Linked DNA regions of Notamacropus eugenii. The protein of the gene in region 4 purifies or fractionates together with the protein of the main gene of each other region. This does not show direct contact. Links are inferred from orthologs where the notes say so. Each region holds a gene or a part of one and is shown on either strand. Other genes may lie near its edges.

What was found.
Region 1: the proteins of SRPK3 (region 4) and SON purify together in Homo sapiens (affinity purification with mass spectrometry; 3 studies listed by BioGRID and IntAct, with this or other methods). This does not show direct contact. The link is inferred for Notamacropus eugenii from reciprocal best matches to the Homo sapiens genes SRPK3 and SON.
Region 2: the proteins of SRPK3 (region 4) and EBNA1BP2 purify together in Homo sapiens (affinity purification with mass spectrometry; 3 studies listed by BioGRID and IntAct, with this or other methods). This does not show direct contact. The link is inferred for Notamacropus eugenii from reciprocal best matches to the Homo sapiens genes SRPK3 and EBNA1BP2.
Region 3: the proteins of SRPK3 (region 4) and CCDC86 purify together in Homo sapiens (affinity purification with mass spectrometry; 3 studies listed by BioGRID and IntAct, with this or other methods). This does not show direct contact. The link is inferred for Notamacropus eugenii from reciprocal best matches to the Homo sapiens genes SRPK3 and CCDC86.

The regions. Positions count from the first base shown.
Region 1 is NC_092876.1:425,726,986-425,734,724, forward strand, and holds the start of SON (protein SON), read right to left. Parts: upstream 3,017-7,739; 5' UTR 2,957-3,016; coding exon 2,880-2,956; intron 2,580-2,879; exon of another isoform or gene 2,558-2,579; intron 257-2,557; coding exon 90-256; intron 1-89. Other genes in the region: GART (trifunctional purine biosynthetic protein adenosine-3), read left to right, coding at 3,346-3,364, 7,260-7,412. UniProt on the Homo sapiens protein: RNA-binding protein that acts as a mRNA splicing cofactor by promoting efficient splicing of transcripts that possess weak splice sites.
Region 2 is NC_092873.1:504,696,337-504,703,731, reverse strand, and holds the start of EBNA1BP2 (probable rRNA-processing protein EBP2), read left to right. Parts: upstream 1-4,381; 5' UTR 4,382-4,480; coding exon 4,481-4,543; intron 4,544-4,635; coding exon 4,636-4,719; intron 4,720-4,934; coding exon 4,935-5,095; intron 5,096-5,241; coding exon 5,242-5,365; intron 5,366-7,395. Other genes in the region: CFAP57 (cilia- and flagella-associated protein 57), read right to left, coding at 389-705, 4,014-4,170. UniProt on the Homo sapiens protein: Required for the processing of the 27S pre-rRNA.
Region 3 is NC_092873.1:12,473,605-12,481,595, reverse strand, and holds the start of CCDC86 (coiled-coil domain-containing protein 86), read right to left. Parts: upstream 3,003-7,991; 5' UTR 2,915-3,002; coding exon 2,127-2,914; intron 374-2,126; coding exon 244-373; intron 1-243.
Region 4 is NC_092879.1:22,619,417-22,626,944, forward strand, and holds the start of SRPK3 (SRSF protein kinase 3), read left to right. Parts: upstream 1-4,518; 5' UTR 4,519-4,617; coding exon 4,618-5,099; intron 5,100-5,768; exon of another isoform or gene 5,769-6,061; coding exon of another isoform or gene 6,062-6,090; intron 6,091-6,288; coding exon 6,289-6,422; intron 6,423-6,845; coding exon 6,846-6,954; intron 6,955-7,085; coding exon 7,086-7,173; intron 7,174-7,376; coding exon 7,377-7,464; intron 7,465-7,528. Other genes in the region: PLXNB3 (plexin-B3), read left to right, coding at 662-736, 1,246-1,350. UniProt on the Homo sapiens protein: Serine/arginine-rich protein-specific kinase which specifically phosphorylates its substrates at serine residues located in regions rich in arginine/serine dipeptides, known as RS domains.

The DNA.
Region 1 (7,739 bases), on a different chromosome or scaffold from region 4:
AAGATACTGCTTTCTAAAGACCTTTGAAGCTTCCCTTGAGATTTCTAGGGAAGGATAATCCTCAACACAAATAATCCCTTTTACTTTACCTGGTTTATATCGTAATTCTGTGTCTAGGACCCCAGACAGCACTTCTTCTATCTTCTGCACTATTTCTTCATTTGGTAGGCTCCTTGCACAGGCAGCTGCATCACCTGACTGGTTTCCTTCAACAGGTGGGTTTGTTTCACCATTCAGCTGGCCTTCAACCCTGCCACTGATTTAAAAATAAAACAGCAAAATTCATTAACATCATGGATATCAATATACAATAAATCAGCACAAAATAACAGCATATGAACAATTTGCTTAATTTTAGTGACTTTATTATCACGTCTGAATATGTAAGATACACTGCCATCTCTTATAGTTTTTGTAAACATATTCTTAAACCATAATAACTCTTTCTCAAATTTTATTAACTTCTAATCTACTTCCAACTAATTTATATTCTAATTTTATAGTATCACATTACCACCATTTTACAACTCTGCAAATCAAGTAAAAACTTCCAAAATAAAAGTTTTCTAAGCTCATCTGTTTCAATACGCTCAGAAATCTAAGTTGAGGCTTTTGGTTACTTATACTTGGCAAAAAGAAAAAAAACTCATGAAAATACAAAAAAAAAAAACAACACATGCATGGCCTAATATACACTAGGAGAATATGGGCATAATGAAGAAAAAAATAGTATTTTTAGCCAATCTGCTTACCATTACTGACCATCAGCATAAGAAAGACACTCAAATACATACAAGGTAAAAATAAATCACATGCTGTCTTTAAATTACATAAAACTTCCATAAATGTATAGAAAAACGTTTAGGGAAATCTCTTATATACAAAAACGGCTCAGGATATTTAAAATAAACCAATTAACTAATGAGAATTCATTATGCTTTAACCAATACCACTGTACACATAAAAAAAGCACTGGAGTTCTCACTTTCAGAATACAATTAAAATATTATCTGCAATCTTCACCTGTTTAAATCTGAACAACTCATTAAGCTAGTTATGGTTGTGTTCATTTGTCTGTAAAAGACTAAAGAATGAACCTATGTTTAAGTTCTTCCAATTCACATTTTAAAGCATTTTAAATATTTACTACAATTCTGATTGTGTTCCTTTCAAACAAATTAAGTAGGTCTGATCTGTCAGATCAAATTACCATATGCCCAAAAAAAGTAAATCTCAAAAAAAATTCAATTACAATGGGAAATATAACCAAGGAAGCACAATGAAACTACTAATACAACTAATTTTGGCCAATTAAACAATGAAGTTAGTAGCACACAATCCAAAATCTATTCATATTTGGTTCAGAATTACATTAAGACAAGGAGAGACAAAAAACATTGTAAGAGAGCAAGAGGTATGAAAGAGGATAACTAATGTTCATATTTATGCTTTGCTTGGACTGATATTAAAATTGGCTTAGATTTCCTCTAAGCACATCTTTAACGCTGAAAATGTTGAGTGGTCCAGAAATTTGCTATGCATAATCGACAAAATGGACTGTAATCAAACGAAATAGAACTACACTACACAAATTAAAAACTTATGCAATAAAAGTCCCAGGAATAAACCTCATCTGAAAATTCTGTTCACTCATATGACCAATACCTTGGCATCACCACCCCTTTCCAGCCCCCCAACACAATCCAGCCTACCGTTCAGTAAATGAGAATTAAGAACTTAATTTGGCTATTTAACTTACTCTTGGAGATTCAGTTCACACTACATTGTGACCAACAAACAGACAGGATCAAGATGCTGGAGTTTAAAGACAGTGAATAGCCACGGGGAGAAAGTATAAGAGAAAGTGTAACCCATATTTTAAGCTTCAGGGATTCTTGTTCCTATCTTCTTACTAAAAAGGACCAAATAAGGTGGACAAGGCACAAACACTAACGGAAAACCAAGCAAAACCAGTACCTCCTCGCTATTTTCCTTTCTCTCTAAACAGATTTTTATTTTTTTTTTTTGCAGATTTCCTTTCCCCACATTTTTGGTGGGGAAAATGGGAGCATAAAGAACAATAGCGGTTCGTTAATCAAGTCAACTTTCCTTGTTATTTGAAGCCAGGAAAGGAAAAAAACTGAAATTCAAAAGATTCCCCCTGTACTCCCAACCTCCAAACACAGACACAGGCACACACACACGCGCGCGCGCGCGCTCACAATTTCAACCATCTCCCCCTTCAAACCAACAACAAACTGAACAAATTTTAACTGCTTCCAACTCTTTTAAAAACAGGTGGAAAGAGCAAAGAGAAAACCAAAAGCCTCGATAATCCACAAACTAGAATAATCTAAAATTAGCAAGAACGAAATTTTAGGATTATACTATAAAAACGCCGTTATACACCCTTTCCGAGGCTGGGGACAGAATGGTGAAATCTCCGGAGATGAAGGCGGTGAGGGGGGAGGGGGCGGGGGAGGGGAAACGAGGAGGAGGAGGAGGAAGAAGAGGAGGATCGGAGGAGGAACCTAGGCCCACCCCAAGGTGGACAACGGGGCCTGGAAGACGGAAGGGAGGTTGGTTACTCGGAAGAGAAAGGGAAGTCTACGAAAGCAGCCCGTAGGCTGGGGGTTGGGGGGGGCGGGGGGAGGAGAGCGCCACGGAGCGAGAGACGAAAGCCCTCGCGCGCGAGGGGAGAGAGGAAGGAAGGTAGGCGGTGGGGGAGGGGGCGGGGGCCAGGAAATAGATCCCAGGCCCGGGCGAGGCTCCTGCAGGGCCTAGGCCAAAGGACGATGGCGGCTTCGGGGATACCGCGGTGGAACACTGTATCGGTACCAGCGGTCTGCTAAAGGCAGATGCGCCTGGGAACACGTTACCTGGAAAGCTCTTGCTGAATTTCCCGGAATTTACTGACCACGAAGGACCTGAAGATCTGCTCGATGTTTGTCGCCATGGCGGCCGCTCCGTTCTCTCAACTCCTCCTCCCAAGACCTCCAGGCTCCCAGCATGCGTCGGGAGTAGGCGCTACGGCCGGTTCCTTATCTCTCTTCCCTCATTGGCTCCCGCTGGCGCTCCGGGGAAGGCACGCTCTGCCACTGAACCAATCAGCGAACACGCATTCGTTTTCTCGGTCCGTTCTTGCGAGACGAGGGCGGAGCCGTTGACGTAAGCTCCAAGCTCGGGGCTGCGGCGGCCATGTTAGTGCCTGACGCAGGCGCCATTACAGGGCCAGTGTCTGCGGGTGAATCCCGCCAACGTGAGGGGCTTAGTCGTTCGCGTTCGGGGTGGGAGGTGGGCTTGTACTTTTGTGATTTGGGTTGATTTAAGGGCATAACTATCCAGATGGGAGACTGGCGGCGAGGTGAGAACTAGTCAGTGTTCCCGCGGAGCCCGCGCACGCCTGAGGGGGGCGCCAGGTCCGGCTTTATTGCCGTCTCGGGGAGGACCCGCCTCTTCGTCGCCTTCCTCCCAATGCTTGTGCAGAGTCCTGTGACCCTGGAAAATACAGCCTTTGCTTCCCTCCGCCCCCGGCCCCTCCCCCGCCCCTCCCGTCTGAATCCGCCTCGGTTTCTGAGCCCCGGGCTGCGTGGTCCCTGTGGCTGCTCCGGGAGCCTACGAGCCCCAGCGTGCAGGCGGTGTTCCGCGCTCCTCTCGCGAAACAGCCCGCCGGCCCCCCGCCGTGAGAGCCCTTAGTCCTCCTTAAACTATTCACGGGTGCCCGGCGGCCTCAGAGGTACCAGAGTGGGGGGGAGGGGGGGGTCGTGACAAAGCTGTCGTTACGTGACATGTGTGAACACGGTTCCCCGGGTCCGGGTCGAACCCACGGGGCCCAGGAGGGGCATCACGCTCCCGGGCGGTCGAGGAGCAGGCCGCCGCCCAGGGCCCGCGGGCCTGGGGGGAGGTGGTTGGGTGGCTGGGGGTGTCGCCGCTGAGGTGCCCGGGTACGAATTTAGGAACGTAAATAAGCGCCAAAGGTGGGAAGGCTTGTGGAACGCGGGAGTGTCCTTCCCTCCCGGACGGACGGACGGACGCACGCGGGGCCGAGGAGCCTTTGGGCGTCCACGTGTGCAGAGCGCTCGCGGCTTGTCGGCGGGAGGAGAGGGAGAGCCCAGGCTTTGTCATTCATCCCGGGTGGGACGGCTGCCTTCTCCTTCCGCGGCCTGGCCACGTGCGTGTCCTCCCGCTGTCACTGGTGGAGCATCTTTCTGCAGCCTGCTTACGGCAGAATTCCTGTCGTTTATTTAACTTAAATTTAATTATTTTAGGAGACGGGTCCGAGTGCTTTTCCCGTAGCTGGTCTCCTTTTTTCCTTGATATGTATTTCAAATAGGATTTCCTTAGTTTTTTCATCCTTCAGGGTTTACCCTGTGCTTTCCCCCACACTTTAACTGTGAGCGGTGCTTTTCTTGAAATGAACTTGGCGTTGGAAGAATTGGCCTTTTTCACCCGTGGGCTTGGCCACGTGCTCTTGTTTTCCAGGCTTGTTTTCCTAATCTTACCACTTGCTTTTTAACGTGGTTTTAATTAAGTTCCTGCTCATGGTTTCCAGTTTCTGATAAGCTACATTTTTCCATCCAAGCAAATGATTTTTTCTTCAGTTTTTCAAAAATTTAAGAATTGAAGAGTTCCTTCATTCAGTTTGGTTTTTCCATGTGGTCCAAAATGTTTTCAGTAGGTGCTTTTCTTCCTACAAAATTGGGAATTTTGAAAGTAGCTTTTATTTCTGCTTTGTACTGTTTACTTATTCAATGGACCGCAAGTCATCCTCATATAAGCTGAACAATGCTGTATCCTGTCTAAGAAAAGAAATAGATATACTTGTTTTAAGGATGAGAGAACTGAGAGTTACCTAGGTTTAGATGTCCAGAAAAGTTCTGCCCAAGGTCCTAAGTGTCAGAGGTTGAATTTGAGCTCAGGTCTTCCTGACCCCTGACTTCCAGAGTTCTTGTCTGCCTGGCCCTGGGTACCAGGTAGTTGCCAAGTCCTATCAGCTCTACCCTAGCACCTCTTCATTCCTGCCTCAGCTACACTACTTCAGGTCCTTACCAGAAGTTGCTTAGACCGTTGCAGGTAGTCTCCTGATGGGTCTCTTTACATCCAACATTCCCAATTTCTACTCTGTCCTCTGGCAGATTGATCTTCCTAAAGCCTAGGTTTGCCTTGTCATTCCTCTGCCCTAGAATCTTTACTGGGGCCTAGATAGCCAAATCCTGCCAGCCCCTGAGCTAAGGATGGTTTTTAACTTCTTAAATACATTCAGACTTTTATTTTAAAATGTAAACACTATTCTTAGTCCCCGGAAAGGAATCATCTTTTGCCTGTAAGATAAAATACAAATTTCTCCGTTTGACCCTCAAAGCCCTTCATAAACTGACCCCAGTTTATCTTTCCAGCCCAATTAAATATTATTACTCTTCATACGCTTCAGTCACATCAGCCTCTGTTGTTTCCTGCATACACGTATTCTGTCTTCTCTTTCCTTCCTGTCCTCATGTCTTAGCACAGGCTCTACCTCATATCTGGTGTATCCTCCCTCTTTACCTCTACTTTGTGTACTACAGCCTTCTAGAAGTCTTTTCTGATTTTCCAAATTGTTGGATTCCCCTCATCCTGAAGTGATTTTGTATGACTTTTTTATACATGCTCCATTTTTCTATGAACATTTTATATTCCCTCCTTCCCCTGAGACAGCTAGAGATAGGTGGCAAAGTGGGTGGAGCACTATGCCTGGAGTCAGGAAAACCTGAGTTCAGATATAACTGGACACTAGCCAGCTGTACAACCTAGGGGAAATCATTTAAACTGGACCTCAGTTTCCTCATCTGTAAAATGGGTATATAATAGCAGTCCCTGCCTTTGTAAAGTACTTAGCACAGTTCTATGTAATAATAGGCCTTCAGATACTTGATTGTCATATTTTATTCAGTTTCATTCAGTGTTTTAATAGTGTGTGCTATGTGTCACTGAGAATACAAAGAAAAAAATGAAATATCCCTGTCTTCAAAGAAGAAGAGAGGAAAGCTAGTTTGATTTTGAACTTGATGATCAAAAGTGACAAGTTTCCAGAAGCCGCCTAAGGGAACCTGTCCAGCAGGCGATTAGAAATATGACCAGTCTCACATTTCCAAATGCATGTGAGGCAGATCTACATGGATACCTGATCGGCACCTCAAACTCAACATATCTAAAACTGAGCTCATTCCTCCTTCACACAAATCCCCCCCAAAATTGCCCCTCCTAGCTAACCTTGTTTGTGCCATTCATTATCTGAAATTCTCTTAGTTATCGAAAAACTCCACTGTCCTATTTTGCTCTTTTCCAATTAGTTGCAAAGTCCTGTCTATACTGTCTCCAAAAATAACCTCCTGATTGCATCTTTTCTTCCTATCCACTCTACTGCATCCTAACCTTTAAATTCTTGTTACCATATATGACACCAAAAAATTTCTTAACCTGTTATTTTAAACCAACCCTTCATAATGCTGTGGCAGTGATTATCCTGGTGTACAAGTCTAACCAGGTCGCACTCCACTGCTCAGAAAATCTCAGTCATTCCCCATTGCCTGCAGGATAAAATACTATATTCTTGCCATCCTATTCAGTGTCCTCCTCCAGTCAGCTTCCAGTCCTACCTCTCAGTTTGTGGAAATCCTTGCCTTCAAGGCCTAATTCATATACTACTTATTTCTCGAGGTCTGCCCGGATTACTTCCAGCCAGAGAAAATAGCATTCTCTGACCTTTCCTGTGTGTTTTTCTCATTCTGATCATATTTGTCCTCATGTCTCCTTGCCCTACTATATTTCCCTTGAGGGCAGGACCTGAAATTCTTAACAGAACCTAACACAATACCTTTCACACAGTAGTGGCTTAAGTATTGAACCATTATGGAAGCAAGATTGAGACTGGAAGGGCTGACTGGGGAATAAGTTGTGTAGAGATGATCGTATGGAGTAGATGAATGGAGAGGGAGTGAAAACGAAAAATAAAGAGCCAAATGATACAAGCTCAGGGAGTGCTACCATTTAAAAGGAAGGGTCAGAAAAGCAGAATAATTAAGCTACTGCTACTTTAAAAAAAAAAAAGCCAGAAGCCAAAGAAAAGGTCTCAAGTATTGCCCAAAACGTAAGGAAAACAATAAGGAATGAGAAAATGAATGGATTTGAGTTGTTTTTTAAAATTTTAACTGAACTTGATTCTCCTGGCACTGTTTATCAATTTCTTTTCTTTTTTTTTTTTTTAAATCCCTACTCTGCAGACAAATTAATGGCAGTCCGAGTGCTTATAATTGGCAATGGGGGAAGGGAACACACACTGGCTTGGAAACTTGCTCAGTCTCAGCATGTCAGCCAGGTGATAGTTGCCCCAGGAAATGCAGGAACAGCCAACAATGGGAAAATATCAAATTCAGGTAAAGGCATTTTGATTTATAGAATGTATGATCTAAAAAGGACCTTAGTGATCATCTAACTCAACTCTATCAATTTACAGATAAGCAAACTAAATGTTAAGTAACCAGTCTAGTTATTTTATGTTGAGTATCAGTAGCATCTGATTTTTTTTTTTTGTTTTATTTGTTTTGGTTATTAGGGGAAAAAAAATCCTCTCTCCCCTCTCCATAATTGGAAAGTGTGAATCAATTTGCCAGAAGTGTAAGATGTGCTGTTCTGGTTATAGTTCTATCTTACAGAATTACTTTATGCCAACATCTTATTAAAAGTGCTTCATAATGATATGG
Region 2 (7,395 bases), on a different chromosome or scaffold from region 4:
ATTAGACTCCTGGGGTCAGAGTGGTCCATGTGTAGCCTGGACAGACAACCAGGAGGATGGGTGGGCAACAGCGTCAATCTGCAGAAGGAACAAGTAAGGGAGTGAAAGTAAAACTAAGGGGAAGACTGAGAGGTCTGATCCCAAAGACCTCCAAAAAAAGGAAAAAGATATATTTGTACAAAAATATGAACAGCAGCTCTTTTAATGGTGGCAAGGAATTAGAAATCAAGGGGCTGCCCATCAACTGAGAATGGCTGAACAATCTGTGATATATGAATGTAATAGAGGCCCCACTGGTCTGGACAGAGCACATGCAAGCACACCCACCCACCCACCTTAATCATCCCCATGGCCATGGGCACAGCCTGTGTGCTAGAGCAGGTATTACCTGGTAGATTGGGTTGTTCTGAGTATCGGTTCTAATAATTGCCATCACTTTCTGCTTCTCCCACATCCAGTAAATTAGGTTGGACTCGGGGGGTCCTGTCTGGGCCACAAGATACTTGGAGTCTGGAGAGAAGGCCATGCTAACGAATTTCTGAACTGTGAAATCAAAGTTGCTGAGGACTTTTCGCTTCCTGCAAGGAACTGAAGACAGCTCATAAATGGTGATGGTGGCTTTGTCCTGCACAGTCTCTGAAATGGCCAGGTAGCGCCGATTGGGACTGATGGCCAGAGCGAGCATGCCCTGACTTTTCTCTGAACCTGCAAATGGAGGTAAATGCAGGTGGATCATGGAGCCACATGTGCAATGTAGTGGACTTTTCTATTAATTTGCTCATTCATCCAGTAATTAGCAATCACAATGGACTAAGCAAGGATATTATGGGCTATGGAGGGAAGCTTCTACAGGTCTGTCTTTCTACTTCGCTGTCTTGGCTCCACCTCCACTAGGCAAGGGTAAAAGGGCAGATGTGATATGTGTCCGCTCTTCACCTATCATTATCCAGGTTCACAGAGGGAGTCTAATTGGATGGAAGGCCTGATCATGGTTATGTTATATCTTGACAATCTTAAAAGGAGAATGGAGAAGGATGGGAAGAGGAATACACTGTGGGAAAGGGAGGAAAGCAGGGGAAAGGGGAAAAAAATCCCCTCACATAATTGGGGTGTATGAGTAGACATCCATACAAAGAGGGAGTGGGAGGGGCAGTTGATATTTGAATCTCAGACACAACTAAGTACAAACCAGCTACAGACAGGATCATTTGGAGAGAATCACAGAAGGAAGGCACTGGCCTTCAGGGGAACTGGGAAAGGTTCCTTGTAAAAGGGGGGGATTTTTAGCTGAAGGAATCTGTATGGTGAATCTTCCATTTTGGCAAACTGCAGGACATAGGACATATGGCTGGACTATGTTGGGGGCCTTGAATGTTGTGGTAAGGACTCTGAGCTGTAATTAGTAAGCAACAGGGTATCTTCAAGGGTTTTAAGCAGAGGGGAGATCTAACAAGTTGTGTGAATAGTGAAAATTAATCTGAGCTGTTATCTCTCTCTCTTGAAATTATTTTGTATTTTCTTTCCCATGTCTATGTGATTTCCCCAAGAAGGATGTGAGCCCCTAAAGGGGAGGGATCTTCAGATTTTTTCTGAATATCCCCATGTTCTGGTATAGTGCCATGAATGTAGGCAGTATTTCATGAAATATGTGCTGAACTGTTTGAATTAGGAAGGGTGGTTTGGAGAGAGAAGGAAGGTCTATCTGGAAGCCCCCTGTGCTGATGCTAGTGGAAAGAAGCACCAAAGCCAGAGGTGGGGCAGCAGCAGGAACAAGGAGAGGTAAGAGTTGGGGGGGCAGGTGGGTGAAGGATGTACAGAGATGATGGGGGGAGGGACAGGCAAAGTCGGGCTGGTCCTGGTCAGGGGGCGGGGGGGAGGCCTGAGGATAGCTGGTGATAAAATTCTGGGCCCTGGTGGAGGTCAAGGCATCAGTATGGGAGTGAGTGGGACAGCCAAGGGAGAACACAGAGAGGGAAGGGGGACAATGACAGACCTTTGGACAACATGAAGGTCAGGGTGAGAAGGTCAGTTTAAGAGCTTTTTTCCAGAAGCCAAGGGTGGACGGTAGTCATTGGCATCCCTGACAGAGGGCATTCCCCCAGGGCTCTATCTGGTCCCTCTTTCTCTTTTAGCCTCTCTGTGGAGAATTTCACCTTTACCTTTCTCCTCATCCGATCCTGTTTCTCCCACTGCCTTTGCGACATTCCCAAACTCAATGTGTCCAAAACAGCCCATCTTCTTTCCCCCCAAACCCTTCGCTTTTCCCAATTTTCCCACTACTGTCCCTCCTTGGAAGTCACCTAGGCTGCAGGCACAATGTCATCACCCATGATACCTCCCTTGTCTACATACGCAGGTAGGTGCCACACTCAGCTGAGTTTGGTCTCTCCACATCCAGTTGGACTATTCCAAGAGCATCAAAGCCAGTCTCCATAGGACATGCCTTTCCCATTCTACACAGATCTGATCACTTCACTCTCCTATTTGATTAAGCCCAGGGGCTCCCTATTACCTCAAGGAGCAAACAAGGCCCTCTGTTTGGTTCTTAATGCCCTTCCCAGGGGGTTCCATTCCACCTTTCCAGGCTTTTTACCCTTTAAGTCCCAACTAAAATCTCTCCTTCTACAGGAAGTCTTCCCTAACTTCTCTTAATTCCAGTATCTTCCCTTTGTTAATTATTTCCTTTTTATTCTGTATAGAGCTTGCTTTTTACATATATGCTTCCATGCTGTCTACCCCCATTAGATCAGGAGCTCCTCGAGGGCAGGGACTGTCTTCTGCCTCTTTCTGTATCCCTAGTGCTTAGTACAGTGCCTGGTATATAACAGGTGTTTAACAAATATTTAATGAACTGACTTGAATTTTACTCCTGTCCATACATTCTAAAGGTCCAGTCATGCTGGCCTTTATCAAGCACACACTGTGACTAATACATAGGGCTGTTACGTGGCACAGTGGACAGAGTATGGGCCTGGGGTCAGAAGGACGTCTTTTCCTGATTCAAATCTAGCCTCAGACACTTCCTAGCTGTGTGACCCTGGACAAGTCACCTAATCCTGTTTGCCTCAGTTTCCTCATCTGTAAAACGATCTGGAGAGGGAAATGGCAAACCACTCCAGCATCTCTGCCAAGAAACCTCCAGATGGGGTCACAACTCAACAACAGCAAAGACTCTCGGTCAACATCTAAGGAATTTTACTCCTCTCCACAGCTCCCAAGGTCCAGCCACAGCCGGCCTTCCTGCTGCCCCTCACACACCAGACAAAGATCTTCATGCCTGGGATGCTCTCCTCCCCTCAACCTAACTTTCCTGCCTTCCTTGGAGACAACAAATTCCACATTGGAAAGGAGGTCTTTCCTAGCCCCTCCGGCGGCGAATGCTTCATGAAAGCGCCGTCACCCAGTTTAGACACATATCGCCTACACTAAGTCACCTGCACGGTATTTCCCTCTTTAGACTAGGAGCGGCGGTTTTCTTGGTATCCCCAGCGCTTGGCACAGGCCTTGGCACACTGGGGTTGTAGGCTTTTCTTTGCGTTTGCTGATCCAATTCCCTTTACTACAATCTTAACGTGTTTAAAACCCCGTGATTTAAGAAAGCGGCGCCCCCGAGAACAGGACAATCCGGGTCGCAGCTTCTACGGGAGCCCCCTGCTGCCCCAACCCCAAGGAGAGGCGCATTCGGGCACCAGCCACGAGCACCGCACCGGCACTGGGGGCTGGCGATGCCAGCCGCAGGGTGAGCGGGGAGGGGGCATTTCTGCACGGCTCCGTCCTTGCAAGGAGAGGCGGGAGGAGAAATGCCGGGCTCCGGGACCCCCCAATGGGAGGGGCCGGGAAACGAGGTGGGCCTAGGATAATCAGAGGCTGCCGTAGGACCTGGGTTCTGGTTCTGCCCCAGACCCTGGCGGGCCATTTAGCGCGCCCGCTGCCGCGGACCAACGCGCGGAATGGGGCTAATGGCGGCCCCCGCGGCCCAGGAACATGGCGTGGGGGCCCTCTCCAAGGGGTACCTGGGATGAACTTCTGCCACTTCTGGTCCACATTGTACTTCACGCAGTGGTTCCCGCACGGAAAGATGATGATCTGCTCGTCGAAGAAGAAGAGGTTGTTGGCGACGCGGCCGCGGAGCCCAAAGATGTGCTGGGCCTGGGCCACCACGGTGCTCATGGCGCCGCGGGGAGGGGAGAGCGGGGCTGCGGAGGGGAGACAGTGACCGTGACCCCTGACCCGTGACCCCGCCGACCTCCCGGCCCCGCCCTACGCCCCTGGCCTCTGCCGCTTCTGTCTCTCTCTCTCTCTCTTTCACACTCTCCTATTTCTTTGGCTTGGCCTCTCTTAGGAAACCTGTGTTTCCACGGCAACGGTAAACAGGAAGAGGCGGATCTTCACGCCGGAAGCGGAAGCGTCTCGCCGGAAGTCAAAGCCGCGAGGCTCAGGCGGCGTCTGGGCTCGCGGAAGAAAGAAAGGGAAAGCAGCGATGGCGGCGCTCGCGTCGGGCTCGGATTCGGAGGCGGACTCGGAGGCGCTCTCGGACGCCGAGGTCAGTGGCCCCCTTCCCTCCTGGGACCCAGCCCCGACCCCTCGTCCCTCCCCGGGCCTGGCCGGCCCTGACTCCGCCTTGTGTCCCTGCAGCTGCAGGAGGCCTTCGCACGGGGCCTGCTTAAACCGGGGCTCAACGTGGAGCTGGAGGCGCCGAAACGCCGGCAGAACGACGTGGTGAGCACGGGGTTTTGGAGTGGGCTCGCGCTCTGGCTCCACGTGCGGCGCCTGGCGCCTCGGAGCATGCGCAATGACGGGATGAGCGTTCGGGGGCGGGGGAGGAGCGAGGAGTCTCCACGCGGGGCTCTGGGTCTGCGGGATGATTTGGGGGCGCGTAGGTGGGGGTGGGGCGCGGAGGGTCCCCTCGAAAGCTCACCGGGAGCTCTCCCCAGGCTGGGCTGGGTCAGTGTCTGGCCGAGTTCCGGAAAGACCTGGCGTGGCTGGAGCGGCTGGACGTGACCGTGGGGCCGGCGCCAGAACTCCCCGCGCCTCAGACGCTCGTGGAGCCTGGAGCCGTGGATCCCGAGGACGACTTCCGTAGGGAGATGACCTTGTAAGTTATGGGGGAGGGGGCAGCCTGGGATGGGGTGGGGAGGGGGCAGCCTGGGATGGGGTGGGGAGGGGGCAGCCTGGGATGGGATGGGGTGGGGAGGGGGCAGCCCGAGGGCACTCCTGCAGCTGCCCGTGTCTGTCTGCCAGTTACCGCCAGGCCCAGGCTGCGGTCCTGGCGGTGCTGCCCCGGCTCCACCAGCACCAGATCCCCACCAAGAGGCCCCAGGATTACTTTGCAGAGATGGCCAAGTCTGACCAGCAGATGCAGAAGGTGGGTGTCTGCCCCAGGCTGGGCAGGGGCTCCTCCCACCTCTAGCGCAGAGTCCCGGAGTTTGCCTTTCATGTGGAGCTGTGTTTGCAGTAAAATTGGTTCTTGGACGTGAATTCAGAGTCAGGGAGGACTGGGTTCCCTTTGCTCCTCAGGGAACTAGTTCACTGAGAGATTAAATTAACTTTTCTGTAGAAAGGAGAGTGTCGAGGTCCTACAGACTGATGGCTCCTATGGGACTGTAGCAGAATCCCAGGTTTGGGAACGACCTCGTAGGCTGCACATTCCCAATGTTGTTAGATCCAGAGAGTTTCCTCTTACGGCATCCCTCCCATCCCCCACAGGGTTGCTCATCCTCTGAGTAAGGATGAGGAGGAACCGCCTTCTCCTGAGTCAGTTCATCTCACTATCAACTCCCCTCATGGATAGGGCACTTTCTACTTTTGTAATATCTCTCCCTATCTCTCCTTGTTCTGCTCCCTGGGCCAGGCAGGTGAAGGCTCATTTTTCTTTCAGGTACTTGGAGATAGCTCTCCTGACCCCCCAAGTTTTTTTAGGTTCAGTTGATTCTTACATGGTGTTTTGAGGCCGCATGTCTGTATCCTTTCTAAAATCTCGCCCCCAAATGTGAGCAGAGTGTTTTAGTTGCCATCTGACCCAGGGTAGAAGACAGAGGGATGGATGGATGCTTCTTAACTCAGAGAGTCATTTTGCAGTTGGAAGGGTTCTCGGAGGCCACCTTGTTGTGCCTTTGCTAGGAAAACATTGTGGTCAGCAGCATAACCAGCAGAGGTCTCACTTTGGCCAGAAAACTTGTAACAAGGTTGTGTTTCCCAGTCACAACTCACTCTCATCTGGAATGCAGTCTGTTATTGTTCAGAAGTTTTTCTTTACTGGTCCTGGCCACTGAGTCTGTTAGTGTGACCACAGATCACCTTGGCTACCTGGTCCCATTGCATTCCCAGTGTCTGGGGGACCATGGGATGAGTTACCGTCTTGCTCCGCCCTCCTATCTTGGACTTTTGTGACTTGACTGTGAGACTTTATTCTCTTTGAAGCCTAGGCTTCTAGTCTGTCAGATCTTTTGGGGGCTTGTCAGCAGTGAGGTGGGATGGTGGCTGCTGGAGCCCTGTCTCCTCGTCACTCCCCCCTTCCCAGCTGTGTGACTCTTGTCTCTTTTAGTTGAGATTAGTAGCAGACCGCTAACTCAGGGTTGTCAGGATCAGAAGAGGTGAAGGGGAAAGGGCTTTGGAATCCTTCAAGTTCTACACAAAGGCTTGCTGTGGAGGGCATGGCTGCTTTCTCTGTCGGGGTTGTCCTGAAGGGGTTGGGGACATTACAGTGTGTGACCAGCAGCAGAGTTCTGGGACAGCCCCATCTCTAGGCAAGTATCCTCAGACCCTGAGTGGTGACTCTTGGGGTCAGGCCATTCAGTGCCTTTCCAAATGCAGCTGTGAAGTCATTTGGACTGTATTATACTATGTGCAGTGTGCATGTACACACTCACATTTCTCTTATTTATCAGAAGGAAATGTTATAAGCTTGGCCTGACCTGTTCTTGGATGAAGCCCCACTGACTTTGTATTCACCACTTGTTATATTTGTGCTGGAAATTCCAAGTCAGGCTCTCTGACTTTATAGCATGCAGGCTTCTGTTTTCCATTGTCCAGCTCTGTGGGGCTTCCCTTCCTCTGAGTCTCACTAAGACCACCTGCCCTGTCACATCTATTTGTTCATTTGAGAGCCTGAGATGTTTTTTCTGGGCCAGGTGATCACAGAAGGTGGTATACCCTAGTGGAGAAGATTGAACCTAGGGAAGAGGCTCTGGGTTTGAATCCTGGCCCTGCTGGGCCCCTGGGGGATCTTGGGTGAGCCCACTACATTCTCCCTGGGCCTCTCCTTTCCTCGCCATTTCATGAGAGGGTTGGACTAGCTGATCTCAAGGGTCACTGACCCAAAATGGCTGATTTTATGATAGGAGCTCCTTGAAGGCAGGGAGGCTTTCTTTGTTGTGGTTCGATCTTGTCAGTTGT
Region 3 (7,991 bases), on a different chromosome or scaffold from region 4:
CATTGTTTCTAGGCCTGAAACACTCTACCATCTCCTCCAGGAAGCTGACCTTGACCGCCACCCATCCAGAATCCAGCCATGTACTCACCCTCCCTGGGCAACAGAGGGCTGCGCCCACATCTCCTGCCCAGGCAGGTCTCCCTGCACCCAGCATGGGCCTGACAAATACCTGCTGAGTTCAGTTAGGGAGCAGGCCTCCATTAGCTGAGACAGCAGCTGCCCCGTCCCACCCCCAGGCCTCACCTCTTTGCGTCTCTGCTTCTCCTCCTCCAGGTGTCGGGCAAAGTCCTTGGCCAGCTTCCTCTCCTGTCGCTCCTTCATTTTGCGCTCCCAAGATGTGCGAAGAGGCTTATCCTGGACCATCTGGGAAAACCTGGAGGCAGGAGGGGAACTCCCCAGTAAGAGGTCTGTGATAGGACCCCAAACACCAGGACAAAACCCAGCATTCACAGCTGGGTGCTGGGGATGCCAAGACAGAGGTCCCTGACCTCAAGGACCTGACACTGGGGTAGGGGAGGGGCAGGGAGCCAACATGGCTATATGGGGTCTATGCCAAACACCTATGAAGCAGCCAAAAGGAAACATGCATTTATAGAGCACCTATCATATGCTTATTTACATAGACTCTTTCATCTGATCCTCATTATAGGTGGGAACTGTTGTGATCCCCTTTCTATAGTTGAGGAAGGTGAAGCAAAGGAGATTAAGGGACTTGCCTGGGGACACACAGCTAGTAAGAGGGCCTGAGGCTGAGTTCAAGGCCAGGTCTTCCTGACTCCCAGTAGGGCTCCATCCCATGCACCCCTAGCTGCCTCTCAGTCAGGGCACCTCCTACCTGACTCTACCAGGTTGGGATGGGGTGGGATGGGGAGCTCACTACCTCAGGAGACGTCCCCTTCACTCAGAGGCTTTCCCTTGCACTAAGACAAACTCTATCTTCCACTCAAGTTCTCTCACAGGACAAAGAATTGGGGCAGAGGAGGAGGGTGTTGTTTGCCCATGTCCAGGACCCTTGGCCTTGGCCCCTAAATGTGGGTGTCCCAGCCCTGCCACTTAGGACCTGTGTGACCTTGGGAAGTGCATTCCCCATCCTGAGCTTCAGTTTCCTCACCTGTAAAATGAGGAAGACAGCCCTCTTAGTCTTCAACATCCCTCTCAGCTCTAAATCCTCCAATTCACTGGACACTTGAAGTGCATAGTGTATGGAGTGAGAGGCAGTGTGGCCTGTGGGTGGCAAGTGGGTCACAGAATTAGGGAGACCTGGGTTTGAGTTCTATGCTGACCCACCCTGGCTGTGTGTGACTGGCCAGGAAGAGCCCAAGCCTCTCAGTGCCCAGTGTCTTGAAGGCGAGATATTCCAGAAGATGCAGACCTACATCGGTGGATAGTCTCTACATGGGGATGAATGAAATCCCAGGTCTGGACCAAGACAGATTTGAAAGACTCTGGGCTGGGGGCTGGGGACAGAGACAAAGCAAAACAGGGCAGTGGGTGGTCAGTGGCCAGAGTTCTGGACTTGAGATCAGAGCTGGCCTGGGACTCTAGCTGTGTGACTTGTGGCAATTAGCCTCCACCTGCCTCAGTTTCCTCATCTGTAAAGTGACTGGTTGCACTTGGTCCCTTGGGCACAGCAGGTGCTCTACAAAGGTCCCTTCCCATCTCCCTTTGTCAGTGGCCAAATACAACCCAACCTTTAGCCCCCTCAACATGTAAGGACATCCCAGTCCAGAGGAAAGATCAGACACGCTTCTCTGACCTCACCAGGCCTTGGTTTCTTTCTCAGCCTCGTACCCTCTGCTCCCACAAGAGGACTGCGAGGGGAATTAAAGATCACATGGCCCAACTGAGCCCCTGAGGCTCAGGGTGGTTTACAATCCCTCCTCCAGCCCTCTGGCACCCCCACTGCATCATTACACTCCTGTGGGGTTGCTTCCCAAGGGCTGGTCTTGTGCCCTGGGGAGCCTGGGGGCTGGCTGGGGGTGCGGGGCAGTGGCTGCCTAGGCAGGGGAGCCCCAGCTTCCCCTTCCGTCGGACCCCCTCGCTTCTGCCTCACCCCCCCGAAGGGCAGCTCCAGCTTTCCCTCTCATAGGCTTTGGCCCAAGAAAGCCCTTCCCCCTTCCCCTCACCTTTTCTTGTTGCGATCCTTCCATACTCGGCCAGACTTGGGCTTCCCTTTGGGGACTGCCATGACCTCCTTCTGCTTGGGCTTCTTGGGCGCTGAGGTGGGGGCAGGGGAGCCACCCCGCTTCTTAGTTTGGGGTGCCTGGGTCACTGGCTGCGTCTCCGCAGCTCCGTCCTGGGGCAGCACCCCCGACTTGGGGGTCACTGGCTCGGGCTGCCCCAAGGGGCACTCCCTGTCAGGCTCGGGCTGTCCTCCGTGGGACCCCGATCGCTCGTGTCTCCGACTTTGGGGGGCTGCCGAACTGGATTCTGGGAGGCCTCTGGAGTCCGGTTCCTCTGCAGCCACCTGATCCCCGGGGCACTCAGGGCCCTGAGCTCCGTGACACTTAGGGGACCCCACAAGGGGCTTCCCGGGGCTTTGCGAGGGTCCCAGGTCCAGCTGCCTTTTACCTCCAGCGCCCTCGGCCTGCTGATTCTGAGGCCTCTTGGGGGACCCCGGACTAGACTCTGGATCCTTTCTCCGGGGGGACCCCAAGTCCTTAGGGGACCCGTGGGGGGGCCCTGGGCCCTGTCTCCTAGGGGATTCCAGGCCTGGCCCCTCGTGCCTCCGCGGGGACTCCGGGCCCTCTTCGGCCGCTCCCGCTTCCGGCACCGGCTCTAAGGCAGCTTCGGCCTTGGGCCCCAGGAGGCCGCGCCGGGCCTTGCGGGGCCCCCGGGACGGGGTGGCGGGGGCCGCGGGGCTCTCGGCCTCCAGCCCCTCCAGGCGCCGGCTTCTCCTTCGAGGCGTCTCCATCCCCTCGCCCAGAGCTCAGCAGGCCCCCAAACACTATCCACGTGGAGCTCCCGGGTTTTCCGGCACTCGGCGCTCCTGATGACGTCACAAAAGCGACCCGCCAATCAAGGGCCGGGAGGCGTGTTATCCAGTCGGCCATATTGGTGAGGGGCAGAACCCCAGAGAGCGCACTTTCCAGGAGCATGCGCCTTGCCGCCACTGCCTGAGCGCTCATTTGCGCTTGCGTGGATAGTCCTGAGCCGACTCTCCTAGACCCGGATGGTGCGGGGCGGTGTCAGCTCCCGAGGGGGCGGAGTCCCAAGGCCTCCTTTTCAGAGAGGGGCAGGGACGCGCCAGCTGTCACACTGCCAGTCAGCCAACACGCATTGTTTGAGTGCCTGCTGTGTGCTAGATAAAGCCTTTATCCTGGCTAGGCCTCGCACGTCTTAAAGCGGCCCTGCCTTCCAGGGGCCCACATCGATCAGGAAGTGGGAAAGGAGGCCCAGCTAAATATAAATCATTTGTACAGAGGAGCCTTGGGGCTGGGGTGAGGGAGAATCAGAAAGAGCATGCAGGTGGAAGTGGAGAGGGAATGCATGGCAGGCACGGCAGGGGCCAGTGCAAAGACCCGGAGGTGGGAGATGGAGTATAGTGGAGGACCAACAAATTATAGAGAAAGGGAGAAGGGGGCTGGAGGAGCAGAGAAAATACCCCTCCCCCCAACTCAGCCCCAGCCAGACCACTCCCGGCTTTATACTTCACCTCCCTTTCTTATTTACATCCTTCCAGCTCCAGGAGAACCATCCCTTGGTTGACCTGAATACTTGGTTAAAGGAAAGGCAACAGGCTAAATGCATACATTTTATGATTTAATTAATTAAACAAATCCCCGTAAAGATATCGGTTACATAACTCTAGGGAGCCAGGATCAAATCTGGCTGTCCGGTACAGAAATCTTCTGGTTTTTATACATTTTGCCGTGAGAAAGGAACTCATAAATTTAGGAAGACGAGACAATTAACAAAGTAGTGTCAATTGAGTTTTATGATCCCAAGCTGTGTGATCTGTAGCATATGTCTCTGTGACGTAAGATAAGAAGAAACTCCCATTACTCTGGTGACAGACGTCCTGTCCTAAATAGGCCCTTGAAGTTGTGGATGCAAGAACAGAGTTGACTAAGTTGAAATTGCAACCCGGGACATCTGTGTTTTTCCTTATCACTAAGATGCCAGGGGAAGAGTCTAGTAAGGAAGTCCCATTTGCTTGCTTAACACCAAAAGGCATTCTCTGGTCCAGGCTCTTCTTAATTCAAAGTTTGGCCCTTATTAAAGTCCAAAACATATCAAATATTATCATCTTATAATAAAGATTACTTTTGGCCCTTATTCAAGTCCAAAATTTGTATTAAATATTATCACCTTATAATAAAGATTATACAGGAATGAGTTTTAAAGGCCAGCAAAACCAGCTCCCCCAAAAAGGCCTGAGTATCTGCAATATCTGCATGAGGATCCTGTGGCCACTCACCACTGCAAAAGAAGGGGAAGTAGGTGTGTTCTGCTTTCTCTTCAAGCCACATTGGGTCCTTGCAATTTTCAAGCAATGACTACAAATAGAAATATTTTCAAAGGCCCCTGTGGTATGACTAGAAGAGGAGTGAGTCTGGAAGTCAGGAGACCTGCGCTTACTTTTATGTCTTCTACCCTTTTTTTGGTCTGGAATTTCACTTTCAGTGATGACTTTTATTTTTAAAAAAATAATTTTTAGCTTTTTGTTATTCTGAACTTGATAAACAAAACAAACCCGGATGTTTCTGTAAACACAGAAAAACAGGAAGAAATCATTGTGCACTGCAGTTATGTATAGTTTGTGGATTGATTGTTTGTTTGGTTGGTAGGCATCCTTCCTCCTCAAAGAGAACTGAAAGAATGTCTGTCACTGTGTTGGAGTCAAGGTGCCGGTTGTCCAGCCGTGACTGATCAGATCACTATAAGCTTGGAAGGCCCTACCACAGGTCAGGAACACGTAGTGTGGAGGTATCTCTAATTTTGTACATCTCACATTTCCTTTGAGCTACTTCCATTCTGCTTCACTCATAGAACACAGTGCCTTCTTTGATGGCCACAGGCTGGATGGTTCTGGGTCATCATCTTTCATGTCTTGAAATTTATTCCAAAGTTCTTCACAGAGACCTTGGGAGTGAACCTTGTGCTGCTTCTTCTGACCTCTATGTGAACACTTGCCCTATATGAATTGTCCGCATAACAGTTTTTTAGATACTTTTGGCATTTGAACAACATGGTCAGCCCATTGGGAGCTGTGGTCTCTGCAGTTGAGTTTGAGTGCCTGGCAGTTTAGCTCAAGAAAGGACCTCAGTGTTAGGGTTAGGGTTAGGGTTAGGGTTAGCGTTAGGGTTAGGGTTAGGGTTAGTGTTATCTTGCCAGGAGAACTACAGAATCTTTCTAAGACAATTCCAGTGGAAGCGATTCTGTTTCCTAGCATGGTGCTGGTGGACTGTCCATGTTTCACAGGCTTACAACAATGAGGTCAGCACAGTGACTGTAGACTTACAATTTGGTAGGCAGCCTCCCAAACACTGAGCTAGCTCTGGCAATGCGAGCATCAGCTTCATGTCCATATGAACATCCCTGGAAAGTATACTGCCAAGGTAAGTGAACTTATCCACAGCATTCAGTATTTCTCCATATGCTGTAACTGATGGTTCCATGTATAGTGCCGGCTAGTGAAGAACCCATGTTTTTATGGTGTTGTTAGACCAAAATTAGCATAAGCAGCAGTATTTATGTATGTACATATATGCATGTATATGAATATATATTTGAAAGTATATAATAAATTCATCCCTTTTGTTTTGAAAGAGACAGATCTCTTTCAGCACTGCCTCCTTTTCTCCTGTACTTTTAAAAATAATCCTCCAGTGACTTTCTTTTCTTTTGCCTTTTTTCCAGCATCATTATTACTACCCACCCTTTCTCTGATCATGGCATTGAATTCTTAAGTTTGTCAGTTAGTTTTCTTTACAATGTTGTACTCACTGTATAAACTGTTCTCCTGGTTCTGCTGACATCACTCTGCATCAGTTCATTCAAATCTTTCCAGGTTTCTCTGAATCCAACCCTTTCTTCATTTCTTAGAGTACAATAATGTACCGATACATTCTAGCTGATGTAGAGAAGCCACAGTTCCCCATCTGGAAATTCCAAAAAGTGCTCCTTAGGAATATTTCTATGCCCCTGTCCTATTTATTCTCTCTTTGACCTTTTAGGGGTATTTGCCTAGTAACGTCAAAGGGCATACTGAGCTCCAGTCCCTTTATCTTAGAGTCCCTTGCAGGACTTAAAACCTTTGTTTTCCTTATGGTTAAGAGTATGACAGTTTGGCTAGAATGTAGGATCTGTGAAAGGGAAGAAATGTGGAATATCTTTGGAAAGATAGGTTGGAGTCAGATAGTGAAGGATTGTAAATGCTGAAGTGAAGAGTCTGTAACTGGTCCTAGGGGTACCAGGAAGCCACTGGGGCTTCTAGAGCTAGGGGAGAGATTTGGGCAGAGCCATGCTTTAGGAATATCAGGCTGGCAGTTGTTTGGGTTAGGAGGATGGGTTGGGGAAGGCTTAGTCAATAGCAGGGCTGAGATTAGAATCCAGGTCCTTTCACTAGAGCTGTTTCAGTCTAGTGCTTTCCTTTTAGGTCAGCTTCGTTTAATATTCTACAAAGAACCTGAAATGAGATGCATGTGAAATGGAAGGCTGGTGAGCAGGCACAGTGTGCTCACGTGTGTGCAATTCCCAACATGGAAATTTCTGGGAAGGTTGTAGAATGGAAGGGCCCTGTTCCCTGATTTGAATCCTGCATAGACATTCTGAAACTGGTTCTGGTCTGCTAACCACATGAGGAAGAGATAGTTTTGATTGATGGTGTATCCAGAGGCAGAGTTCATGCATGAGGCACTACTTGGCCAAATTGAATCATTCTTTTATTTAAAAAAAAAATTATTTTTATTTTTATAATATAAATATTTATATATAAATATAATTTTAAATATATTTAATTAATTATTTTTCATTATATATAAATATATTTAAATATTAAAATAATTAGATATATTTAAAAATACATATAAGTATATAAATAAATATTTTTATTTCATTAGATATTTTCCAATTAAATTTTTTAAGAATTTAAACATTCATTTAAAAAAATTTAGTTCCAAATTTCTTCTTGCCCCTCTCTCACTCCTTGAGAAGGCAAGTAATATAATATCAATTATACAAGTGAAGTCATGCGAAACATAACTCCGTATTACTGGTTGCTGTTCTGGGGAGAGAGACAGTGCTGTTAGAGAAGAGGCCTCAGACCCTCCCCATCATAGTTTATTATTCCTCTTTTTCAGAGAAGGAAACTGACAATTCAAGACATTCCCTGTCTCTTATCTCTTAATGGGTGACATCTTCTCAAGCTTACACCCACAGACTTCACTCTTTGTCAACAAATACTAATTACACCAGAAAGCAGCATAAATAGTGAATAGTAGGAAAATCCATCAATTTAAACAGGTAACAAATGGAAATAAAGTAATTTCTCTGGTGGAGGGAAGGCTTGAGCAGCTGGAGGGGAGGGATCCAGGAAGTGTTGTGTTAGAAGGTGATCCTTCCACTGAACTTTGAGGGAAGCTTGGATTCTAAGAGACACAGGTGAGAAAAGGGTCTCTTACTGAATTTGTTATTCTCTTTAAATTCTCCTTCATTAAGATTGATACCATGAATAAACTGGAGAAGCAAGGAATAGTGTATTTATCAGATTTATGGAGAAGGGAAGAATTTTTTACTAAAGAAGAGATAGAAAGCATTATGAAATGCAAAATGGATAACTTTGATTACATTAAACTGAGAAGTTTTTGCACAACCAAACCCAATGCAACCAAAATCCGGAGGGATGTAGTAAATTGGGAAAGAATTTTTACAGCTAAGCTCGGGGATAAAGGCCTCATTTCTAGAATATATAGAGAACTGACTCAAATGTATAATCATACAAGTCATTCCCCAATTGATAAATGGTCAAAGGATATGAACAGGCAGTT
Region 4 (7,528 bases):
TCTTTCAGAGTTGCTTGTCTTTACAATATTGTTGTCATTATACAAACTGCTCCTGGTTCTGCTCACTTCACTGCATCATTTCATAGGAGTCTTGCTGGGTTTCTCTGAAACCATTTCTCACAGCTAAGCAATATTCCATTCCATTCATATGCATTATTTGTTCAGCCATCCCTCAACAGATGGGCACCTCTTAGTTTCTAGTTCTTTGCCACTGCAAAAGAGCAGCTAGAAATAGTTTTTCATCTATGATCATAGACTTTAGAGCTAGGGGTCGAGTCCAACTCCCTAATTTTGCAGATAATGAAACAGGGATCCAGAGAAGTTCAATAACTTGTCCAGGGTCACACAGTTAGTGTCCGAGGTGGAACCCATAACCTCCTGAAGACACTATGATGAGCTGTAAGGCAGGATATGAAACTAGATCTTCCTGATTTGGACTATAGAAAAAGGGCTGTGAGGAGATCAGTCCGGACAGAGAAGAAGGGAGCAGGGGTACAAGACTGGACCAGTAGGATGGGGACAGATTTAGTGTATGGGGGGTGGGGACCAGATAGGACTGCTGATGACTGAGTGTCCGAAAGAGGATGATTCTGACCTCAGTGGGCCCTTCTCCACCAAGACCTGACACTTGCCAACAATGTGTATTCCCCCCAAACCCCAGAACTATGCTTCTGACATCACCTGCCTGGTTGCCCTGCATGAGCTGTATAATTACATCAACAAGTATTATGACCAGGTGAGAGGCAGGTGGGCTTCTGGGCAGGGGTTGGAGAAGGGCCTAGAAACTTGGAGGGGAGGGGGAGAACCCTTAAGGTTAGATATCTAGAGCCACTTAAAGTTAGAGAGGAGGTGGAGGGAGTGGGGAGCAGAGTAGTTAGCTTTGCTTGGACCACAGCTTTGCTTTAATCCCTAACATCCTGAAAGACCTTCAGAGGGGAAATCATCTCCCAAGTGCCGGACCCAAACTCCCTGAAAAAAGGGGTCCTGCCACCCAAGCTCAGAGTGGCTTCATCTCTCTCAGAGGTACTCTGGGATGGGGAGAGAAACTTGCTTTTGGAAAGTTTGCTCCAGCTCTGTGGGAAGGCCCCAGAGGGGGAACCTGTCTTTGCCTAGGGAAGACTTTACCCTGGTCTCTAAGGTTCAGAAGAGACAGAATTGTGGGAGGGGGCAAAATAGAAGGGGACAGAGCAGCTGCAAGCCCAGGAGGGAAACATTAGCTGATCAGATCTTTTTGGTTTCTTCCAGATTATCAGTGCCCTGGAGGAGGACCCTGTGGGCCAGAAGATGCAGTTGGCCTACCGGCTTCAACAGATTGCTGCTCTGGTAGAAAACAAAGTTACTGACTTATGAAGCCCTCCCCCGCCCCGAGTCCAGATCTTGGGCCAAGAAGAAGGAAATGGACCAACCTGGAGTGTGGGAGCTGCCCCAGCCAAGGCCTCCAGCTTAAAGTCAACTGCCAAGGCCCCCTCTCTCTTACCAGTAGTGCCTTTTGTCCTGGCTCCCTAGAGACCCAACCGGGTGACTCTATCCTTAGCGAATCTCCTTCCCCTCCCTCCAAAATGGAGATAGAGAGGTCTTAGAGCCTCTCTTTCCAGGACCCTCAAAAGTGGTTTGGGGCAGAGTCAGCCAGGCAGCTGGGTGGGCACTGTTGGTACCCAGAGTAGTGGTCAAAATTTGACCCTATTTTTCCCAAGTATGGAGGAGATAGTGGAAAATGAACCCTGTCTGGGACATTTTTCTATAGTGGAGAAGTGGGAGGGGGGGAGGGGTGGCAAACATTCAAGACTTTCCACTCAAGCCAGTCTGGCCTAGCCTGTGGCTTCCCCTCACCCCTTCACTAGGATTATTAGTGGGGGTATGTGTGGGAGACAGCACCAAGCTTTGCCTCTCTTATTGAGACCTGTTAACTAAGGCATGGCTAGTCTCAGGCAGTCGGGGTTTTCATAATTCACACCAGCTCCAGCCTCTTTTGGGATACTTAAAGGATGGCCTACCCCCACCCCCACTCCCATCCCATATATTTATTTACTTGCTGGAAAATTCCATTTGAAAATAAATGAGATCAAAGACTTGAAAAAAGTTTAAAATCCAGTATTTTGTTGGTAGTTTGTGTTTGTGGAGTGTCTGGAGGACAGGCAGTTGTCAACATATTTCCTGAGGAGGACTCCTCTCTCCCCTTTTGGAATGCCTGCTGTTGGGATCTCAGGGTGTGGGGATAGGGAGACACAGGAATGAGGCAGAAGAAATCCTGATCCTAGTAGCAATAGCTGGGGCTGGGAGCATAATTTTGGGGAGTGGGAGAAGGGAGGGTAGTAGAGTGCAAATTGTGCACACACTGACACACACACAGACACAGAGACACAGACATACAAATACACACACACTGACACAGACACACAAATACACACATATACATATAGAGACATTGACACACACAGAGACAGACACACAGATGCCCAAACACACACACACACAGTCACACACACTGACACACATACACTGACACACACACAGACACACAAACACGCAGACACACAGTGACAGAAACACAGACACACACAGACACATACAGAGACACTAACACACAGAGATACAGACAGAGACACAGACACTCACACTCCTCATCTCTCTTTTGGTTCTCCTCCTCCATCTCTGACCACTCCTTCTCTGTCTCTTTTGCTGGATCCTCCTCCAGATCATGCCCTTGAATCATAGGTTTCCCCGGGGCTCTGTCCTGGGCCCGCTTCTCTTGGGGGTCTCATAGGCTCCCAAGGATTTAATTACTGTCTCTATGCTGATGATTCTCAAATATATCCATTTTGCCCTAGCCCTCGGCTTGTCCTTTAATCTCGCATCTCTAAGTGTCTTTCAGACATCTCAAACTGTATGTCCGGTAGACATCTTTAACACAAATCTAAAACTGAACTATCCATCCCCTCAAGTTCTTTCCGCCTGTGTTCCCCACCCCCACCCCGGCCCTACTGTAAACCCAGAGACAGGGATAAGAAAAGGTTCCGGTCCCGGGGCAAAAAGTGAGAGTGCAGTCGGCGCTTTTTAAAAAACCAATGAGCCACCTTGTGTGGAGCGTTTTTTGGCCGGGGGGGGGGGGGGGGGAAGGGGGGGTGGAGCACAAAAAGAGACTGTCCAGTCCTCCCCTCCAGACCAGTGAGGATAGGGCAAGTAGTAACACCATTTTCCCAGTTCCCTGGCCTCGCAACGTGTTAATCTCGATCACTCCCTAACTCACACCGCCATATCCAAACTCGCCAAGGCTAGTCATTTCTCAAATTCAGCCCCTTGTCATCTTCCATTCAGCCACTAAAGTGATTTTCTTAAAGTGCAGGTCAGATCATGTAACTCCCCTGCTCCATAAGCTCCCGTGGCTCCCTCTTGCCTCCAGGATCAAGTACAAGATGCTCTGTTTGGTGTTCCAACCCCTTCGTGACTCAGCCCCCTCAAGTGAACTCTTCAACCCGGTGATCCCTGGCTGCTCCGCCAACCAGTCCCTCCTTTTCTCGGCTCTGGGTATTTTCTCTGGGTGATCCCCAGTACTCCCCCTCCTCGGCCCTGACCTCTGAGCTCCCCGGCTAAGCCCTCTGAATTCCAGGGCCTTCCCTCTGGTCATTATTTTCTATTGATCTTGTATAGAACTTGTTTGCACGCATTTGTTTGTTGTGTCCCCTCCCCCCGGGGCGCCCCCCCCCCGACTTTACTACCCCCTATTAGATTGTGAGCTCTTTAAAGACCATCTTTTGCCTCAGCGTTCGGCACCGTGCCTAGTACTCAGCAGGTGCTTAATAAATGTTTATTGACTGACTGTCTGCAAAATTCCTGCTGGGTCAGCCCAATATGGAGGAGTGGGGGAGAGGGCTATAAGATTGAATAAATACACTCAACAAACATTTCTAACCGAACGAAAGCCTGGAAGGTGGGTGCAAAGACAACAGAGAAGGGTCGGGATGCTGGAATGATCAATGGGAACGAGTGGAGGGGGCAGCCTCCCCGACAGGTCTAGAGTGAGGAACGGCGGGTGGCCATTCAGTTCGTCTGGAACAAACCGAGTGAGGGTAATGGGGGTCAAAAAGTAGTGAAGTGCACAGAAAAAAAGCGCATTGGCTGGGTTAGTCCCATCCAATCACTTTTTTGCTCGGGGAAATTGAGGCTCAGAGAGAGGGGCGGTGAGAAGATTTCGTCTCCGGGCAAAGAGTGTGGGAGCACCCTCGGCGTGTTTGAAAAATCAACCAATGAGCGCTGTGCGCGGGACGTTGGCAGGGTGGGAGGGGGGACGAGAGTATAAAACGACGGCACTGCAAAAGCCGCTCCAGTGCGTGGATCGCCGAGGTGAGGAGAGGCTGTCGAGCAGGTTCGCGGAGCTCGAGCACAAGCTTCCCGCTTACTGCTCTCTCCTCTCTATCCAGTCGATCCAGCTCCTCGTCTGGGAGCGAGAGAGACCGTGTCCGCGTGCCGTGAGGCTCGCTGGCCGTCGTAGCTGTGAAGATTAGCAAGGGGGGAGGTGGGTCCCAGGTCCGAACGTCTCGGGATCGAGACCGGACGGCCCGGGACAAGGCCGGCCAGTGAGGAGCGAGGACCTGGCAGCGGGCGCCTGGACGACTCGCTATGGTTGCATTCCGGGCGGGCCGCTTCCGAGGGGGCGGCCGGGGCTTCGGCTTACTGGTGCTCTCTAGCCTCCTGTCCCGCTCCGCCCTGATGCGTCTGGTCTTGTCCAAGCCTCGCATGGAACCTAACCCGCCCCACTCAGGCCAGAAGAGAGAGAAGCCACAGACCAAGGAAGGGGCCGAGGCGGACGACGGTGGGGATAGCGACCCGCAGTCACAGCGGGGCCAGCTCAGGAAGCCCGGGCGGCGGCGGCTGCGATGGCTGCGGAAGCAACGGCTGGAGTCCCGGCTGGAGTCCCTGCTTCCGCAGCACCCCCGGCCATTGCCTCCGCCATTGCCTCCAATGCCGCCGCCGCCGCCCCCCCCCGCCGCCGCCGCCTCCTCCCCCCCCCGCCGCCGCCCCCCCCCGCCTCCCCCTCCGCCGCCGCCTCCGGGCCCCCCGCCGCCGCCTTCTCAGGTGGGGAACCTGCACGTGCAGCTCTAGTAAGTGCATGCGACGGCGTTCTGGGGGGACAGACCCCCTCCAAGGAGGGAGACCCAAGCCATCTGCGGGGGCGGGAGGTGATGGTGCAGCAGGTGCAGCTCTGAGCGGATCGGAGGCGCGGGGACGAAGTGGTCCGGGGATGGGGGGTGGGGTGGCGAGTTCCAGGAGGTCTAGCCTAGATGACCAGGCAGGATGGACTTCCAGGGCCCGCAGGGGGATTCTGGGAGTTCAGAGGCATTTCTGCGGGGATGGGGGTAGGGGGTGGAGGGGGCGTGGCAGGTCCCGGGATGGTCACTCTTTCCCCCTAGACTTGGGGGGGTAAGCCCCCCAAGAAGTTGAAACAGACGGAGGAAGTGATAAACCCCTTTCAGTCTGTAGAGGGGGAGACAGGCAGAGTCCAGTTCACCCATAGGTCCCTCCAGGGTGATCATGGGACTGTAGGGTTTAAGAGCTGGAACATGTAGTCCAGTCTGTTCAGGTGGCCGATGTTGTCGGCCTGCGCAACCCTGGGGAAGTCTCCGTTTGAGGAGCATGTGCCTTTAAGAGTTAAAGAAGCAGGACCCTCAGCGAGTTGGTAGAGTGGACTTTTTTGGGTGATAGGGGGAGGGGACCTTTCCACTGACATACCTTTCCCTTCCCTAAAAGCAGCTGAGAATCTATTTATAACCCTTTCCCTGGCCGGCCGAATGAAATCACCCCAGCTATAAATGCCCCTCAATCCACTCTCCCCACAGTAGAGATAAGGTCTCCCTCCTCCCAAAAAAATTCCAAAAGGAGAAATTGACGTCAACCCCATCCCCACCCCCTACCTCCAACGGGCTAGGCCGAGTGACTGAGGGCAGGACACCGGAGCTCTTCGGACCTCGGTGTTGGGGAGTGGGGGATCAGTTAGATAGATTTTCCTGGCAATCCCCCGACTTGGGGTAGAGTAGGTAGGGTGTAGCGTGCTGGGGAGGTCGAAATGAGCTCAAGCAGCAGCAGCAGCGACAGGTAGGGGATGCCTCAAGTCTGTGGGTCCAGATCCAGAGTAGAGCTGGGCAGCCCTGGAGAATGGGGGGGAGAGGGGTGGAGTATGGTGGAGGAGGGAGCCTGGTGGGGATGAACTGGAAATCGGAGGGAGGACTGGGGGAAAGCCAAGAAGACTTGGACAGTAACCTGAGGCCTTCCCTCTCCACCCCTACCAACAAGCTCACATCTTGCATGTGCCCACGAATTCACTGACCCGGAGGTGAGAGCTGGTCGGGTGCTACTCCCCATGGTACTGGAGAGCCTTCTGGGCTCTGATGATGAGGAACAGGAAGACCCCACCGATTACTGCAGGGGTAATGGAGAGCCCACAAAGCCAACTTGGCCTCCCCGCTTTGGATGGGAGGTGGGGGCAGAGGGTCCAGCTCAGGGCAGGCAGCCTGAATAAAGAGAAACAAAGGCAGCTTCAGTCTCTCCCCGCTGAGGAAGGGAAGGGGATGGAGGTGGGAGGACTAAACTGATAACACCAGGCCCCTTTTTGGCCACCTGCCCTATGTTCTTTTATGCTCGGGGGAGGAGAGACAGCAAGGAGAGAGAGAGAGAGGGAGCTCAGCAAGTTTCGGTGGACCGTTGGACTATGGTCTCAATGATCAGGACAAATAGTGAGCCTGTAAGGGATGGGGGTGACTAGGCAGAGGCACCCTGGGCAGACTCTGGGCCTTGGAAAAGTGGTATCCTAACAATGAAGTATTCTTTCCATCTGTTTTCCCTCCCCTTAGGTGGTTACTACCCAGTGAAGATTGGAGACCTGTTCAATGGACGATACCACGTGGTTCGAAAGCTGGGGTGGGGCCATTTCTCTACAGTCTGGCTCTGCTGGGATATTCAGTGAGTGATCCTCCCCCACACCCTCCTCCTGGCCCGTTTGGCCTATCTTCTCTCGACCCCCTCCTATCCTTGGATTCCGAGGCCCAGATACGGACCTTGATGATAACAGGTGATCCGGGTCTGTTTTGTAGGCGGAAACGGTTTGTGGCCCTAAAGGTGGTCAAGAGTGCTCTCCATTATACTGAGACTGCTGTGGATGAGATCAAACTGCTCAAATGTGTAAGTCCTCACTCAGCTTTTTGGGGCCTCCGTGTCTGTGCCCCGCCCCCATCAGTCAAAGACAGTAAGAGGGGGAGGGGGAGGGGGAGGGAGATCTCAGAGGACCAAATTTCCTGATGGTGTAGAGGGAGCTGAGAAGGTTCCCTGGACTCCTCTGCTCCTCACCTCGACCCCGCCCCCCATCATAGTCTTGATGCCTCCAGGTCCGGGACAGCGATCCCAGCGACCCCAAAAGAGAGACTGTCGTGCAGCTCATCGATGACTTCAGAATCTCAGGGATCAATGGTGTCCGTATCCTTGGGGGTTTGGTAATTCTGAGGGTTTGGGCAGTGTCCAGGGGGGTCTGGAGAGGGTG